3 linked regions of the Saccharomyces cerevisiae S288C genome follow. The gene in region 3 interacts genetically with the main gene of each other region. Each region holds a gene or a part of one and is shown on either strand. Other genes may lie near its edges.

Region 1 (3,294 bases), on a different chromosome or scaffold from region 3:
TTTATCTTTCTTTTTTTTCCTCCAGCACTAAACCTTCCATAACAATACTATTAGAAAGGTTGTTATCAAATATTAAAATAACTATTAAAGTGATACAAATATATATATAGATGACGATGGGCATAAAAAAGCTCGTTTCTAATCATCAACTATACGTTTCTTGATCAAAATGCACTGAGCAAAATATTGTTATGAAAACATACTTGCTTGACGAAATGGATTAAATGGATCCATTAAATTAAAAAATGAGTCTAGAATTGCACTTTATGATAGAAAATAAAAATTCGACAAGAAATGGTGATAATTTAACGAACGAAAATATTGAAACGTCAGGAAAATAAAATAAAATATGATAAAAGTTGAAGATGGAGTAAAATAATCTTGTCAAATAATCAATAAAGACAGTTTTATCCATTTATAGGATTGGCTTGAAGTAGAAAATTCTTCAAAGATGATTGAAAGAAAGAAGAAAGTAGCACATAATTGACATGACGATTGGCTTATTCTTCAGACTTCTTAGACTTCTTAGATTTCTTGCTCTTCTTAGACTTCTTTTTCTTGTCCTTACTCAAGTTTGGTGTAGCAGCAGGTCTTGGACTAGCAACTGGAGCTTTTGGAGCCATCACTGCTTCGGCATCACTAGGTCCGAAATGGTAGCCCAATTTGTCAGCACCGAAGTGGTTAGCAATTGGAACCAATAAAGTTGGAATGAAACACATCAAAATAAGATCAATGATACCATAGAAAATACCGGCAGAGTCTGGCTGCAAAACGTTACCACCATCGGTAATACCGAAACAAGTTGGGTAAGCAATAATCCACAAGAACATAATAATGCTGAAGAAAACAAGGAATGTCAACCTGATATCGTTATCTCTTTGTTTCACCAAGTTGTAACTGGTGGTCATAACACTGATACTAACGACAATAGCAGCACCTAGACCGATGGTGTAGTAACCCCATTTGTAAGTGGAGTGAACACAGGCAGCGATCAACCAACAAACAGTGAAGAATTCAGTAATACAAACATTGAAAGCCATTTGCCAGAATGGGGTACCAGCTAGCATACAGATTTGAATAATTGGCCATGGCAAAGCTAAGAACCAACCAACGAATCTAGAGTAGAAGATTTGTCTGTAACCTGGATGTTCTTTTTGAGTAGAAGTTTGGACATGGTTGTACTTAGCCTTGACTGGAATCCAACCTAAGTTAGAAGCCATGGTGAAATAAGCGATACACATGAAAAAGTTTGGAGCAATACCGGTAAGGTAAAAGAATCTGTCATTGACTGGTTTTCTGAACATTAAGAATGTTAAAATTAAACCAAATAATAGGTAACAACAGAAACATGTCCAGAACCAATCGGAACCACGACTAGTGATGTGGAAATCCGCACCGGTTGGAGGGTTAATTTTGATGGCTTCGTTACCACCTCTTTTAATTAAAGTTTCAAAGGTAGACATTGTTATTTTTCTTCTTTGTTCTGTGGGTTAAAGGAAGATGATTAGATATTAAGTGAAATTAGGTATTAGTTAAAATTAAAGCAAAAAATTAATGTTAAAATAGGGTCAAAAAATTGGATGTAGAGAAAGAAAAAGTTATTGAAATAATAATATTTTTGTTCGAGGAAACTTTTTTTTTTTCTGAGTTTCTTTTATTATTCTTTTTCTTCGCAATGTTTCTTAACAATAAGGACAAAAGATAGTGACAACGATCTAAGAATTAAAATAAGCTTAATAATAAATAAAAAGAAGAACTTGAAAAGGGAAAAAGAAGAAATAACGAGAAGTGGGAAAGAAATAAGGATATATCTTAAGTTACCGAAAAAGACACTACTTATAAATGAAGAAACCAGGTGAAGAGATCCTTTGTTTTACGAAGACCGTATTTATACATTTCCCTTCATGTACATGTGTGATAAATTGGAAAACCACTTCTGGAATTAAACTGCTTTTTCTGACATCCTTGTGCAGTCGTTACTGCGATTATTTACATCTTTACTGATTCGTATGAGTGTTTATTTCCATTTTGCCTTTTTTGTCCAGGAAAACTAGAGATGCCGATTTTCGGTTAACAAAAAAAGTCCTGGTGAGGGAAAAAAAACGCTATTTTTTTTGCTCACCGCACTAAGAACTAGCCGGAGAAGACTAAGCTAGGAAAGGGATGGAACAGATGACGACGAAGAAGATTAAGTAAAAAAGGTAAAGGGAGACGAGATGGTGACAAGTATCTCTTTTTTTTATTGCCTTTTTCATATTACCTATTACCGCAAACTGATATATTTCTCAAAGGAGAAATAGTAAAGTGGAAGAGGTTTGGGTCTCTTGGTAACCGGACTACATTTGCAAGTTGCATCTTCCATCGAAGTATTAATTCCCTCCATCCTCTTCTCACTAACACCGGCACGATTTTAAAAATTTTTCAACTCCGTTGTTGAATTACGTATTCCTCTTTATGGTAAGCGCTAAGATGAACAGCGCTGAAAAGCAAAATTTGAATGCTTGAAATTCAGAACATGACTATTCGTTCAGTACTCGCTTCATTTGCATCCTTAGTTAATTTGGCCTGAATTACTTTTTGAATTCAAGAGATAGTGCATAAAATGCGGCCCCCCTTTCCAGCTTCCATAAATTGCGCTGATTGCATGTCTGACTAAGCTTTTTTTTTTTTTTAAGCGACCTTGTCTCGAGGAGCATAATAAAAAAAAGGGAGTAAGGTCGGCGGCAGTCGCTTTTATTAAACTGAAGTAAAACAGAACAAAAATTACTTAAGGGTCGCTAATATTACCCTTATCCTCTCAACAAAAGATAAGAAATTAATTGACCTATACCTATAATACCTAATAAACCCAAAAGTGTCTTGCTCTGATGTATTTGTTTTTTTTAACACAACCTTGCTACCTTAGGCCATCGAGAAGAGATTGAGGTCAAAGTGGAAGCGTTGGAAAAGAAGGAAGACCCATAGTATAATGAAGCTAGTTACCATCCTTAGACGACGCCCATATTTTTCAATTTCTCTTATTTTTTTTTTACGCAGCGTAGCAGTTATGGACAAAAGCCGGCCTGAAACAAGATTGAGATTAAATGAAAGGGCGTCTGCTTGTATATGAACTCAGTCGTCCACTCTTTTTAAAGTACTCTACTTATATAAAAAAAAAAGATAGGGATTTACAATGTTAATTATTACACGCAGCATCTAGCGTATGATTGTATGTCCCGAATGCCCCGTTATTACCCAATAAAGCAAATTAATACGGTCTTTTTATAAAGCTGTGCTTCTTTTTCGGGGTAGTTT
Region 2 (3,301 bases), on a different chromosome or scaffold from region 3:
TTGAACGCTTCATCCGAAAACAAAGAATTGTATGTACAAGCCACGCACTTTAATAACACAATTCTATTGCAAATCAGACTAAATGGGGAAATGGATTCCACCTATGAGGTATCTTCAAAAGGACTAAACCCAATTCTCGATATCAACGTACCACTGGCAGGAAACCTAGGAAACACGGGTGGCGATTATGACGATGAGGAAGAAGAATTTGTAAGAGACCATTTATCTGATTATCAAGTGGTTACCAAGTTGGGAGATAGTGCCGATCCTAAAGTACCCGTGGTATGCGTACAGATTGCCGAACTATATAGGAGAGTTATTCTACCAGAAGTGAGCGGTACGATGGCCCAAGACAACATGCAATTCAGCTTGCTGATATCCATGAGCAGTAAGATATGGAGAGCAACGAAGGAACAAAGCGCTGACGATAATGATTTTGGCAAATTAGTTTTTGTGTTAAAGTGTATCAAAGATATGTATGCAAAGTGATTCTATATAAATTAGTTATGCGTTGTATTATCTATGACTGCCATATCCAAGACTTGCACAGTTCCCTTTTTATCACATAGGGTCATCAAATCTCTATAATTGACAGGATCGATAAGACCTGTACATGTCCAAGGATCCAATTCCGGCTTCGTTGACTCTCCAGGCGATGAAGCTATCAATTTACTAATCTTCTCAATAAGTTCGGGTTGTCTAGATGGCTCACTTATGGCCACTTTGACTTTCATCTTCGCCCTTACTATTGGAATAATTTGCTTAGAAACCAATAATTTGATAGCCTCTAAAGCTTGCAATTTGGCAGGTTTGTTAATAACAGGGCTGAACTTCAGTTCCTGTAAAGCTTTGTGGATCATTGTGGGCGGATATCTTTTCTTTGACACAGGATTTATACATTTAGCGCTAACTATTGTAAGCATTTCGTTATTAACTTTATTAAGCATTAATTGTCTTTCTTTTTCCGATAATTGAATCTCTCCCTTATGCATGATCTCCTCGATGACATCATCAACATTTGTAGTCCCGAAACACTTTTGTAGATCTTCCTTATTAGCAACCAAGCCTTTCGAAACATTCATGAAAACTTGATGTATCTGCAGCACTTCATCCAGATCTTTTTCAATTCCTTTTCGATAGTCTTGGACCTTATTTTGGTAGCACGCGACTTCAAATCTCTTGCGAGCCTTTTTTAATCTCACTAATGAAACATTAGTTAACTTAATCTGTCCCGACGGTTGATTGATAGGCATTGCGTGTTTTACCTTTTCTTTCTCAGAACTATTTTAGTAAAAATTTTAAAAACTTTTACTACTGCATGAAATCACTTAAGTTCGGCCTAGAAAAATTTTTTCATGAACATTATTATATATACAAGGCACTGAGCAGAACAATACACGCTAAGTTTTGTTCTTTCATGAGGTCATAATAAGTTAAATAACAGTCAATACATAAATGCAAAACTAAAAGTACACAGTTTTATTATTTTCTTTTCGTCGTAATGTAGTTTTTATAATCAGTCAACTTTTTTTTTGCTTTTAGATTTCGTTTGTTCCTTTTGTCTTTGGATCCAAAGTTTCTTGAAAATGTAGCCAAAACAATGCCAGCAGGAATATCGAAAAAGATGGGTATAATATAAGTAAAAAAAAAATTTTAACAATGAAATAATACAGGAGAATTCGTGGTTTACAATTTCTGGTTTTTTTCGAAATTGCTATGTGGCTTCTCCAACAATGTAATTGTAGGCTTTTCTTTCTTTTAAGTCCGTTTATCGTATACAGAAAAAGTGCAGGATGTTGTAAGTAAAGGTAGTCAGTCATACCATCATGACAAAATCCACCTCTTGGCAAACATATCTAAAATAGCTCTATAATGGCCGATGACACCCAACACTACGAAGAAATGCCAAAAAGTGTGCGAACAACCAAAATAGTCAACCCACCATAGAGATTTAAATGATTTGGCATGAGACGGACAGGAACTGCATTTGGAATGGGCTGTTGGCACCTCTCTAAAATGAATTTCCCTTTGCTTTGTGATGATTTCTAAATCAGTAGATAATTCGTAGTTTGTTGGAATGGTCTTATCAACCTGAACGTCAGATCTGAACCGTTCAGGAATGAACGAACCGTAAAATACCACACCAACCAAATACCAAACAACAGATTTGTATGTGACGGGGCTAAATAGCGTTGCAGCATAATGAAGATCAGTCAAAAATATCAAATGTAAAAACGACAATACACCCATAGTAGCCAGCAAAATGAAGAATCTAATTCTTAATGGCCTTGCTTCAGGTCTATCAAAGCGAGGCGACCAATTCATAAACACACCAAATACACCCAGCGCCAGAGAAATACTCATGTAAGTGTACATCGCCCAGTAACATGAATACATGGTAACAAACTCCGTTGTCAATATCGAAGCTGTAATTAAGATCGTAATACCGCTATAGTCGACACACGCAAATTTAGAACGTAGCTTCAAGAAGGACGTTCCGTTGAAAGTATGCCAAAACACGGAGCTTAGCATACATTTCAACGCAGCTGCCAAAAACATGAAAACAATCCATCTAGCCTGTGGTGGAACCTGGGAATTCCGCCAAACTTCAGACTGAGGGAAATCGTAAATTGCCAAGTAGATTATATAAATGGCTCCTAACAAATGAGACCAAATATTTGAAGTTTCATTATGCCAGCCGTACCAGTTAAAGATAGACAACAAAGATTTGGAATGGGTATTGTAAAACCTATAGCCATGGATTATGTATCTGTTTTCCCTCCATGGGAATGGCAACTGATAATAATGTAAATGTTGAGTTTCACCTAGACTATACGCTTTGCCATGGTTGTATGAGTTTATAAAAGACTTGATATCGGTAGTAGGATTCAAAGGTTCTTCAATGAGGATTTCCGTCTTTACCATGGATTTTCTCATTGGACCGCAATAGTCTTTCACGCTGGAAATATAATTGTTTTCCTCTTTGATTTTTGTATCATTGAGACGACTTGTTGGGGAACGTAACGAGGACTTCGCTTGAGAACATACAGTTGAAGATGAAGACACCAGTGAAGTGGATGTAGAAGCATTGTTAAGCTTGAAAGTAGCGACTGAATTCACCAAAGTGGCTGCATCTGAATCTCCCAGTGAAAACTGAGATTCTGTATTCAGAGACTTGCCACTGTTTCTTTTGTACACAGAACTTGTTACTTCCTTTTCTTTTGTTGGACGAATTATCTCCAAATCATCATACCGCCCACTTTCAGAGTGTTTAACACTTTCATCAATAGTTGAAAATGGA
Region 3 (3,894 bases):
AGTGGATTTTTATTCCAACAGATATATTAGTAATATGAACACTACTAAATGGATGATATTTTAGAATTTTTATTCCAACACTTACAATAATACTAGCCCAAAGATGATAACTGACTCTGATTCCAACACTGTGGATTGAGTTGATAACACCCATTTATCAACTAATCCTGTATTGAGTTTTTAGCTAAGGTGGTTAGAGCATAGAAATTGAGCGGATTTAGCTCAGTTGGGAGAGCGCCAGACTGAAGAAAAAACTTCGGTCAAGTTATCTGGAGGTCCTGTGTTCGATCCACAGAATTCGCATTTCTATTTTTGTATTTTTCCATGAATTGACGAACTCTTGCAAGTTGAAGAAAGAAAAATAAATAGAGCCAATTATTTAATTTTTTAATAGTTATTATTATGTAGATAAATACCAGTAAAATTAAGCCAGCATAATTAGAAAACCGCATGTTCTTTGGTTTAATTATGTTTTGAAAGTGATTTCTTGTTTATCGAAACGGCGCCTTTTGTCTTTAAAAATTGAAGTAGGTACCATGCCGTTCGCTCTTAAAGAGCCAACCATTCATCCCTCAGTAAACAAATCCATGTATTTGTCGATTTGCATATTCAAAAAGTTTGTTTTTGAACTTACCTTCATTATAAGGTCGACTTTATCAGGGCTCTCTACAAAATGTTCGCGCAGATGCCTTTGAAATTTATTCATTAGTAATGGTATTCCTTCCTCTCGTCTAAATTTGTGACCAACAGGGTACTCTACAAAAATTTCATCCAACTGCGTCCCATCGTTCAGCTCTATGAGAAGAGCGTTTCCTATCGACCTTTTATCAGGATCGTGATAGTTTTGAGTGAGATGAGTATCTTCGATACAGTACATTTTCGATCTCAAGTTATCGATCTCAGGATTTCTTGCGACCTCATCCGAATAATCAGTAGCTGTGAGATTACCAGTAATCAGCGGAACCGCGATCATGTACTGGATACAATGATCCCTATCGGCATAATTATACAGAGGACCGGATTTATCTATAATCCTCATTGCCGCCTCTTGAGTTCTAATTCTGATCGATTTAATATCTTTAAAAGTTTTCCCTTGTTTGGCAAGAATCCTATATGCTTTTACAGCAGCTTCTACAGCAGTTTGCGCATGGAATTCGGCAGGAAATGATATCTTGAACAGAACGTTTTCCATGACGTAGGAATCATATTTTGATCTTTGTTGGAATGAAAAAGGTTTACCCTTAAATAAAACGTCATAAAATCCCCAGGTTCTAGCTGTTAATACTGAAGGTATCGTGCCAACATTAGCATTTTTGACTAAATAAGCCAAGTTTACAGCCCTCGAAACTGCATCTCCCGCCGCCCACGACTTTCTAGATCCAGTATTTGGGGCATGACGGTAAGTACGCAGTGATTGACCGTCTACAAATGCTTGTGACAATGCTTCAATAGTTTGTTCCTGGCTCAGGCCCAGCATCTTCGAGACAACACCAGCCGTTGCTACTTTCACGAGTACCACATGATCTAAACCTACTTTATTGAAAGAATTTTCGAGCGCTATAATACCTTGGATTTCATGCGCTTTAATCATTGCCTCTAATACGTCTTTAACAAGAAACTGTTTTCCATTCTTTCCGTGGGTAGCCTTGTTTAATCTGGACAAGTGATCCGCGACAGCTAAAATTCCCCCAAGGTTATCTGATGGGTGCCCCCACTCGGCAGCTAACCAGCAGTCATTGTAATCTAACCAACGTATTAGAGTACCAATGGCAAAAGCTCCCTTCACTGGATCCATAACGTAAGATGTGCCCAATATTTTTGTTCCACTGGGAACTATTGTTCCTGGCACAATTGGTTTAATAATATTTTGAGCCTGCTTAAATTTCAAAGCCGCCAAGCCACAGCCTAGAGTATCAAGGAAACAGAGTCGTGCTGTATCTAGAGCCAAAGATGATTTTAATGGGGTTTCATGGACATATTTCGCGATGTCCTTCAAAACCTTATCTGGATTTGGTCTTTCATTAGTTTGTATAGACGCTGTACTCAGCGCAGCAAATTTCTTTTTAGGCAAGCATACCTTGATTTTATTATTTTTTAGATTTTTGGCTAAAAACATTCTGTTTGCTCTCGATCATCAGAGAACAGTAGAAAATACCAAAATACTATTTGAGAAAGTCCTAATAAGTTATACATACATTATGGCAGATTTATATACCTTATACACTTTCTTTGGTCATGCTTTCACATTAGTGAAGGTAAACATATGAGGGTAAAAGTTGAATGACTAGAATGTGGAGAAATAAGGTCATCTCAATAAAGTTTGTAAACGGCCCGAGGTCCGACATCGGGGAAGTGGCTACCTATAGACAGCATCATATATCAGAGAGATTGGGGACGAAAAGCGCGATGTGGTAAAAAAATAAGTCAAAACTCCAGAAATAATACAATCAGAGAAAAAAAAAAAAAATAAGAATATATTTTACTAACGAGATTGGAATTGCTGAATAATTTTTTGATAGGTGTGTTAACCGACCATATTTTCCCCTATATGTTTTCATGATGAATATGTATAAATTAGCTATGATTAGACATGCTGTATGGAATTTTATTTATATTTCAATATTGTAATAGCAAACGAAGCATTCTTGTAAATTGGAACTGCGTTACAACTTGTTAACATTGCTTGCTTTGGTAAGTGCTTCCAGACCCTCCAAGTTCAAACTCTTGGGCCTTTCAATTGGTAAACCTAGAATGCGATCCCAAACAAGTTGTGTCAAGGGTCCCATGGCCCTTGAACACCCAAAAATGACGGTAAAGAATAATAATTCCCTGATTCCATAATGATAAAACAAAATCCCCGATGCAGAGTCAACATTGGGAAATGGATTCTTACTCTTTCCGTGTTCCAACAAAACCTTAGGCGCTATTTCTGCCAATTTTTGCATCAACAAAACGTTCTTGTCGTTCTCAAATTCAATAGGCCTCTTTTGCGCAAATTCAAGCATTGCTGTAAATCGAGGATCCGGTTTACGCAAAACTGCGTGCCCATAACCGGGGATCACACGGTTTGAATTCAAAATTTTCCAAAGATAATCTTTGATTTCTTGTTCTCGTGCAATGCTGGAAATATTAGAGTTCATCTCTATGAGAAACCTTACTACTTCTTGTGCTGCTAACCCATGCAAAGGACCCGCTAATCCCATTATTCCAGATGAATAGCTGAGATACGGGTCACTCAACGCACTTCCAACCAAGTGGGTGGTGTGAGCAGAAACATTACCACCTTCATGGTCTACATGTATACCGGTATATAACCGCATCAAGTTTATGAAGTCCAGGGATTGCTGGGAAGTAAGGTTGCATGTATTAGAAGAGTTCGTTCCATTTGTCATGCCGAGCAGGGAACATATGTTTGTACACCAATCCACCTCCTCACTATATTGACCTAATGGGTGTCCCTCATTTGTAATGTTCGAATAAATTCTCCCAGTCAGCAGCGGGAGTGAAGCAATTAAATTTAGCGAATCTTCAAGAGTATCTTTCCAAAATTCCATCTTTCCTATGAGGCCCTTTTGGTAGTTTGTAGCAAAGAGGGATCCTTTGTTCATTGATGCTAAACCAATTGCAAGTTGGGTCATAGGGTGCATATCTTTGGGTAAACTTGACAAAACTTTCTCTGTATAATGTGGCAATTTCCTTCCACGAATAGCCAATTCTTTCCTGAAAGAAGCAGCTTGCTGGAAAGTTGGCACACCACCTGTCATCAACAGCCATAACATTGATTCTGGCAGGAAATTATCGCCATCAATACCTGTATTAGGTAATCTATTTTGACATTCTTCAATCGTTAAACCTTGAAATTTAATGCCATGTTCGGGATCTAATGATGTTCCT

The links. A genetic interaction does not mean that the proteins touch.
Region 1: mutations in PDH1 (region 3) and MRH1 together harm fitness more than expected from each alone (negative genetic interaction), as found in Saccharomyces cerevisiae (2 studies listed by BioGRID).
Region 2: mutations in PDH1 (region 3) and SDO1 impair growth when combined (synthetic growth defect), as found in Saccharomyces cerevisiae (one study listed by BioGRID).

What each region holds. Positions count from the first base shown.
Region 1 is NC_001136.10:506,316-509,609, reverse strand, and holds MRH1 (Mrh1p), read right to left. Parts: upstream 1,464-3,294; coding exon 501-1,463; downstream 1-500.
Region 2 is NC_001144.5:183,674-186,974, forward strand, and holds SDO1 (guanine nucleotide exchange factor SDO1), read right to left. Parts: upstream 1,254-3,301; coding exon 501-1,253; downstream 1-500. Other genes in the region: IRC25 (Irc25p), read left to right, coding at 1-489; IZH3 (Izh3p), read right to left, coding at 1,825-3,301. UniProt on the Saccharomyces cerevisiae protein: Involved in the biogenesis of the 60S ribosomal subunit and translational activation of ribosomes.
Region 3 is NC_001148.4:556,607-560,500, reverse strand, and holds PDH1 (putative 2-methylcitrate dehydratase), read right to left. Parts: upstream 2,117-3,894; coding exon 566-2,116; downstream 1-565. Other genes in the region: citrate (Si)-synthase CIT3, read right to left, coding at 2,664-3,894. UniProt on the Saccharomyces cerevisiae protein: Catalyzes the stereospecific dehydration of (2S,3S)-2-methylcitrate (2-MC) to yield the cis isomer of 2-methyl-aconitate.